2 linked regions of the Arabidopsis thaliana genome follow. The protein of the gene in region 2 binds, or shares a complex with, the protein of the main gene of each other region. Each region holds a gene or a part of one and is shown on either strand. Other genes may lie near its edges.

Region 1 (3,752 bases), about 21 Mb from region 2:
GAACTGTTTTGAACTGTTTCTCAGTATTTCCTGGAGAAGAATGTTGAAGCTAGAGCAAGGGAGCTGGAGAGGGAAGCAGAATTGGAAGAAAAAGCTCCAAAAGTGAAAGCAAAGTCAAAGATGTCAAAGGCTGAGAGAGAAGCACGGAAGAAGCAAAAGATGAAAGCGTTTCAAGCTTCCAAAAAGAAGTCAAAGTCCAGCAAAAATGCCAAGAGATGGAATTAAAGCTTCACAGTTCACACATAGCTGCTTTAGGTGTAGTATGTATATAGTGTCATCCCTTACTTGATTTAGTGAAAAAGAGATGGTATATTTCATTAAAAGCTTGGATCATCCGTTGTAAATTACATTCATTTAACATGAAGGTATCATTCCAGAAATTCTAGGCATTAAAGCTTTATAATTTCAGACGTGGCGAATTAACTCCAGATCAGCTAGAAGGCAAGTAAAGCATCCTGCTAAATGTTCAGAATCTTAGATCTTGAGAATCTTCTGCACTACTCGAATCTCTTGACAAGTGAGAGATCATTGAGCATCTTCTCAATAGCTTCATCATCATGAGCTCTTCCTTTTGTCTACACAAAAGAGAAGCTTACATCATCTCAAAAGTCCACTTACATAACAATACAATTTGTCCTTTTGAGGTTATCTTATTATCTCCACTGAATAGAAAAAGTAGAATCTTTATTTACCTTAAGAGAAGGAACCATTGCCACTGCTTCTTCAACAGTTTCAGGACAGAGATTGCCAAGAACACATAGCTGTTCAATAATGAACAATGCAATGTTTTAAGTCTTCTACCGAAACGACTTAATTGATAAACAAAAATCCAATCTCAAGAGATTTAACATTGTACCTCAAACTCAGTGAGTTGATGTCTGCTTAGTATTCTGCAAAAGTTGAGTTAAGGAATAGCATATTCTCACAAAACTATAGAATTAAACCAGTGACTGTAAAATCTCACTCATCAAGAAGGAAGCATGTCAAAGCAACGATTACTTAAAAACTTTGAATCAAACTAATTCAGAAAAAGGATACTCTCGAACTTGTCTAACAGCATCTGGATTCTTGTAGCGGCTGAATCGCTTCACATATTGCAAGGACTTCTCAAACACTCTGCAAGGAGCAAACATAACTTCTTCAACAATATTCAACATTGATTCACTAACCTAGAAGTAACATATAAAACTGACTAAATTCTTCAATTCATGATGGCTAATATACAATGAATCTCTATGAAACACAATTATACTTACTGAGAAACTTGATTCATAGGATCCTCTGAGATTTGCTGAAGCTGTTCAAACTTGTGCTCAAGAATCAAAGAGACTTCACAGTTCATTAAGCACTTTGCCTTCAAAAACTCTTTTGTCAAAGAGAATAAAACCCATCAATTTCGATGATAAATCTCAAATAATTAAGGGATTTTCGATACAGTTAAGCTCAATTAAATCGTATTGAATTAAGATCAATTCGATGAGGCAAAGAAACCCTAATTTTGAGGTACACAGCGGGGGATATGGCGAAGAGAATAGAGAAGTACCATCTCCGATCTTGAGTTCGGCGGCGTTCTCTTCTTCTTCTCCGGACATGGTGATTACCAAGGAGCGAAATCGAACCCTAAAGTTTTTTGGTTCTGCCTCTTTTTTTTTTTTTTCCGTCTTAACAACGAAAGTGATGAATATGAGACAAAACAAAAGCTTTGACCGGTTATATATAAAAAAAAAGAAGCAAACTCTATAATTAAAAAAGGAAAATCCAAGGAGGTTAATTAGATTTTTTTTGGGGAAGAGAGGTTAATTAGATAAATGTTACTATGTTAGTAATAGAGAAAAATTGAAATAAACCGAATAATAATCATCAAGTTTGAATAGGCAATGATTTTGATAAAGTTGGTATAAATTTTTGATTTAATAGCAAAAAAAGATCAAAATTGTTTACTACAATCATATATTCTGCAAGAAATTGAATATCATCATAACAGGATTAATTAGAAATATATTTATAATTGATGATAAATAGAGAAGAACAACAAAATTTATCATAATATAATTTGATTAAAAAAAACCCAAGTTATTTTATGATTTAACATAAATTGAGTAGTAACATAGAATTTGGAAAAATATTTGAAAAGCACAAACTGAATAACATGTGATATTAAGAACAAAACAAAATCTTCTAAAACCCACGACAAATTCTTTTCTTAATGGGTATACTACGCCTTTCTGCTTCTTCCCGACCAATCTTGCAACGAGGACAATCGCAATGCCCCTCTCGAATTTCACCTTCTTCAATCCCATCATCATTCTCTGCTTCACTCCTTGTTCTTTTTCTTGCGACTGTTTCCGGATTTTCGTTACCTTGCAGTTCTTGGATCTCTGTTTTCATAAGTGCGTTGAACATTTGAGAAAGAACCACGTCTCCTTGAAACAGATTTTGAAGAGACTTTATGAGTTCATCTCCTTGTATATGCCGGGACCTAAATTGTTTCATCAACCCCATGTATTCCTTGAGTTTCGCTTCACTTAGTCTTTCTTTGATGAACTCCGCTATATACAAAAACCAATGCTTACATACGGCTTCACTCTCAATCTTTGTTGTCTTCATCGTTTGGATACAACACTTTGTTTTTTTTCTTCTTCTTTGTCTTACAATTATGATTCGAGTGTATTTATAAGGAACTGAGTTGTTTACAATCCGATTTAGTTTGGGATTCTAAATTCTAACTGATCAAGCTTATACTTACCAACTTAAAAAAAAAAAAAAAAAAAACTTATCAAGTTTTTTTCACATGATTAAGATAATTATCACACGAATCATGTATTATTTAGAAAAAAAGAATACTTAGATTATGTTTGGAGTGTTGACAAATAAAAGAAGATAATGTTTGGAAGATTACAGGAAAATAATGTGAGATTTGATCTGTGTTTTACTTTCAGACGTTAATATCCATCCGCTTAGACCTGCCATTACCATTGCTGGTTTCCTCTACACTGGAAAGAGAGAATCTCGGAATAGCGTAATTGTAACGGTCAGGTGGTTGCTGCGGATAGAGTGTAGGAGACTGCATGAGATTGTGTTGCGGTAATGTGTTATATTTGTAAGCATCTCCTTCCCTTAGGCTGCAAAATTCAAAAGACCAAAACCCGATAAAGAAAAGAAATCCGATTTTTTTTAGGATGATAAATATATATACCTTGTTCTTTTATAGAACTGATCTTCATCACTTGTGCCCTCATCTAACCGCTGGGAAGGTGCATGGGAAAGAGACCATGCTGAAGAAGGCGACGGTAGTTCGTCTGAGAAATATCTTCTTCTTATCAACTGAAAACGAAAAACGTTCATTAGGTTGAAGAGAAAGAGAGAGAGGGAGAGAGCTATTGTAAAACATGGCAAGGTCAGAAATGACACCAACCATATGGAAAATTTTGGTCAGAGCTTCTTTGTCATATCTAGCTTCCTTGGCAGCCTGTGCATAATTTTACCAAAATTATATGACATACCGCATAACACTAAATTCAAATAAAGCAAGTAATTTAGTCTGTGGTTACCATTATGAGACCAACATTGCTAGGGAAGCTCTCAGAGAGAGGAAGTTCATCACTATGGGGAAGCAGACCCTGCTTCTCAACCCAATGACGAGCTGCATCAACAAGATTGCCACTGCTTCCATTTGTTCCTCCTTTGGCAGCAATATCAGCTTTGTTTCCAATAACGATGTATGGGACGGGAAGACCACCAGGCCCACCAGA
Region 2 (3,752 bases):
ATGAAACTGTCAAACTTTGGACGTGCATGGATACAAAAGCTTCTGTCAGTTTACTTTCCTGGATTTAGGGTTTTAAAACCAGCTGTGAGGTTTGCTGCAATGTGGCAATGTCACTGCAATGTGTTGTATAGAGTCTTAAGTCCTCTGTTTACTTTAAAACCCGTATTTTAACTTGCTGCTATTCACAACAAGAAAAATGAAGTCTTGTCTAGCTACTTTTGCTCTCGCAGTGTTAGTAACACAAGGAAGCATTTTTAGTTTGTGTTTGGCCTCCTCTGCTTCTACAAACTCTGTTCCTAATTGGTTTCATCATTGGCCGCCGTTTAAATGGGGACCAAAATTTCCATATTCTCCACCTAAACCGCCGCCAATCGAGAAATATCCTCCACCGGTGCAGTATCCACCACCGATCAAGAAGTATCCACCGCCACCATACGAGCATCCACCGGTGAAGTATCCACCACCGATCAAGACTTACCCTCATCCGCCGGTGAAGTATCCTCCACCAGAACAGTATCCACCGCCGATTAAGAAGTATCCTCCACCAGAACAGTATCCACCGCCGATTAAGAAGTATCCTCCACCAGAACAGTATTCACCGCCTTTCAAGAAGTATCCTCCGCCAGAACAGTATCCACCACCGATCAAGAAGTATCCTCCGCCAGAACATTATCCACCGCCGATAAAAAAGTATCCTCCGCAAGAACAGTATCCACCACCGATTAAAAAGTATCCTCCGCCAGAAAAGTATCCACCCCCGATCAAGAAGTATCCTCCGCCAGAACAGTATCCACCGCCGATCAAGAAGTATCCTCCGCCAATTAAGAAGTATCCTCCGCCAGAAGAGTATCCACCACCGATCAAGACTTATCCTCATCCCCCTGTGAAGTATCCACCGCCTCCGTACAAGACTTACCCTCATCCGCCGATCAAAACTTATCCTCCTCCGAAAGAATGTCCTCCTCCGCCTGAACATTACCCTTGGCCTCCGAAAAAGAAATATCCTCCACCGGTTGAGTATCCGTCGCCGCCATATAAGAAATATCCTCCGGCTGATCCATAGTAACTCAAAACCAAACAAGGACGTGTTTGTCTATAAGTATATGTCTAGTTAAAAAACTGTTCTGTTCTTTCTGTTATGTTCTTTCTTTTTCTTATGACTTTCTGTTATGATGCATCAAATAAAGAATAAACTGTTCTGTTTTGAATTTGTTAAATAGGAGAGTGCAAGCTCAAGAACAAGCTGTTTCATAAATAAATAAAATATATTTTCTAAAATCAAGTAAAGTAAAAAAAAAATAGATATTGTACTAAATGAATAAACTTGATTCAACAAAGTTTTGTACGTTGTTATAATTTCACTTAAATAATTTAGTGCGTCAAAAAAACAAAATTAAAACGTAATTGGTCAAGGAAAAAAAAACAAGTCTCAAGGGAAAAGGAAAACAAAAAAAAAGGAAAATTTAATAAGCAATCTGGACCGTTCATACTTTTTAGATCTGACGGCTGACAGAGAACTACCATTGGGCATCTTTTATAAACAGAGAGATTTGTTTGATTCCGGTCGAACTCAAAACATAATTTGCTCTCAATAAGACATTAACAAAGTCCCAGAGGCAGAGAGAGAGAATCAGAGAGAGAGAAGTCGAGATGTTTTTCCACATAGTATTGGAGCGGAACATGCAGTTGCATCCTCGTTTCTTTGGTCGTAACCTAAAAGAAAACCTCGTATCTAAGCTCATGAAAGATGTCGAAGGCACTTGCAGGTTTTCTTTCTCTATTCACTTCTAGTAGAAAATCACCAATTTCGGATGCTTTAATCGCAAACCCTTTTCCTCAATTCTCAATTCGGATTCGTTTTCCTTAAGACAACTTCGAAAAAGTTGCATATTTTTTCGAACCCTAATCTCCGTCTAGTTCAATTTGTTAGGTTTTAGGGATTAGAGTGGATTAAATTCGAATAAAGATCGTTCTTTTAACTAAATTGTAGTCTTTCTCTGCTGCTTGTGACTAAAGTCTGATTTTTAGCAGAATTTTTTTCCAAAGGGATTTGCTTTGAAGCCTTTAGCTTTCTTAGGATTAAGATATGACTTCATCCAGCTCACTTAGATGCCTGATTGCAAATCATTCAGATCCAGTATCTTGTTTTGTATTTGATACTCAAGTCTAAAACTTTGTTCTTTAGTATAGTTCGCTTAATCCATTGCTTGTGACAGAGATTTGTATTTTGAGGCCTCTAGCTTTTTGTATTTGCTTTAGGTTTAAGATGTGAAGTTTCATCATTGCAATGTCATATTGATACTTATCAATATTTGCTCTTTTCGTTTTGTGGTATGGACAGTGGCCGACATGGATTTGTAGTGGCGATAACTGGAATAGATACAATAGGAAAGGGTTTGATCAGAGATGGGACTGGTTTTGTCACCTTTCCAGTTAAATACCAATGCGTCGTTTTCAGACCTTTCAAAGGCGAGATTTTGGAAGCTGTTGTCACTTTGGTCAATAAGGTAATGTATCTATATAGTCTTATTTTTTTAGTCAAATGTCTTTAGTGACAAATCAACCTTATGGATTTTCCTAATATTATCACAGATGGGATTCTTCGCTGAAGCTGGCCCTGTTCAGATTTTTGTGTCTAAGCATGTAAGCTTATGATCTTCCATCATGAATTTGACCTCGAGTTCATTTTTGATTCTAGGTGTTATGTACTTACTCTTGTTCTCCTCTCTTTTATCACCACAGTTGATTCCAGATGATATGGAGTTTCAAGCTGGAGACATGCCTAACTATACCACATCAGATGGATCAGTGTGTTTCTTTCTCTAGTTCTTATTTCCCAACAGTATTATATGTGTTTCATCTATCTTCAAGGAACTCATTTTTCCAATGCTTCTCTTGCAGGTTAAGATCCAGAAGGAGTGTGAAGTGAGACTAAAGATTATTGGAACAAGAGTTGATGCCACTGCGATTGTATGCACCATCTCCTCCATAACTCTAGTCACAATCCAACTTATAGTTTTTAGATTATTCTTATCAATTTACACATTTGTTTTTTGATTTTGCAGTTTTGTGTGGGTACCATCAAAGACGATTTTTTGGGAGTCATAAACGACCCTGCAGCGGCATAAAAAGTTTCAAGCAGATTTCAATTTTGGTCTTCTTTCTTTCACAGAGAATGCTGTCTTGTGATAAAGTTGTATTATAGTTGAAGTTTTGGATCTATTTAATCCGAAAGATTGGAACCACGCTTGTTGGATTTAACTTATATGCAAGTTTAGTGAACTTCGTATTTGATCAAAACTGTTGTCATTTTGAGAACAATATAGTACCGAGTAGTGGATCAAATTCTACATGTCTCAATGAAAATTGTATAATTTGAAATTGAATGGATGTTTCATTGATTGTTAGTTATATTGTTTCATATGTTGTGGAAGATATTGAAACTCTTGTTTCATACGTTGTGGTTCTGTTTATCAAATATTTGATAAATCTAAGAAAACATGTTAAAAGTCATCAATTGCTTCTCTCATTCATCAACTTTCCTTATAGGATTTGGTTTTTGGTAAGACCTCTTTGACTATCGAGTAAAATATCTAATTGTATGATATATTGACCAAAATGTACTAATTAAATTCATTGAAAGTTTTCTGAATTTTAACACATTCAATGAATTTGAAAACGCTTTTTTCAAATAAATTTCCATATAGTTTCATAACAATGATGAGTATGCAATCTATTCAATAACACATTCG

What was found. Proteins that work in one complex are often made in the same cells at the same time.
Region 1: NRPB7 (region 2) and NRPB4 share a complex: the UniProt entries of both Arabidopsis thaliana proteins name them as parts of the RNA polymerase II complex.

The regions. Positions count from the first base shown.
Region 1 is NC_003076.8:3,094,116-3,097,867, reverse strand, and holds NRPB4 (RNA polymerase II, Rpb4, core protein), read right to left. Parts: upstream 1,686-3,752; 5' UTR 1,593-1,685; coding exon 1,544-1,592; intron 1,366-1,543; coding exon 1,257-1,365; intron 1,117-1,256; coding exon 1,039-1,116; intron 891-1,038; coding exon 857-890; intron 762-856; coding exon 693-761; intron 576-692; coding exon 498-575; 3' UTR 226-497; downstream 1-225. Other genes in the region: ABCF2 (ABC transporter family protein), read left to right, coding at 25-225; AT5G09910 (Ras-related small GTP-binding family protein), read right to left, coding at 2,936-3,122, 3,197-3,324, 3,416-3,469, 3,552-3,752. UniProt on the Arabidopsis thaliana protein: DNA-dependent RNA polymerase catalyzes the transcription of DNA into RNA using the four ribonucleoside triphosphates as substrates. Second largest component of RNA polymerase II which synthesizes mRNA precursors and many functional non-coding RNAs.
Region 2 is NC_003076.8:23,881,849-23,885,600, forward strand, and holds NRPB7 (DNA-directed RNA polymerase II), read left to right. Parts: upstream 1-1,507; 5' UTR 1,508-1,650; coding exon 1,651-1,766; intron 1,767-2,341; coding exon 2,342-2,507; intron 2,508-2,592; coding exon 2,593-2,643; intron 2,644-2,742; coding exon 2,743-2,808; intron 2,809-2,901; coding exon 2,902-2,970; intron 2,971-3,065; coding exon 3,066-3,128; 3' UTR 3,129-3,457; downstream 3,458-3,752. Other genes in the region: AT5G59170 (Proline-rich extensin-like family protein), read left to right, coding at 197-1,063. UniProt on the Arabidopsis thaliana protein: DNA-dependent RNA polymerase catalyzes the transcription of DNA into RNA using the four ribonucleoside triphosphates as substrates. Component of RNA polymerase II which synthesizes mRNA precursors and many functional non-coding RNAs.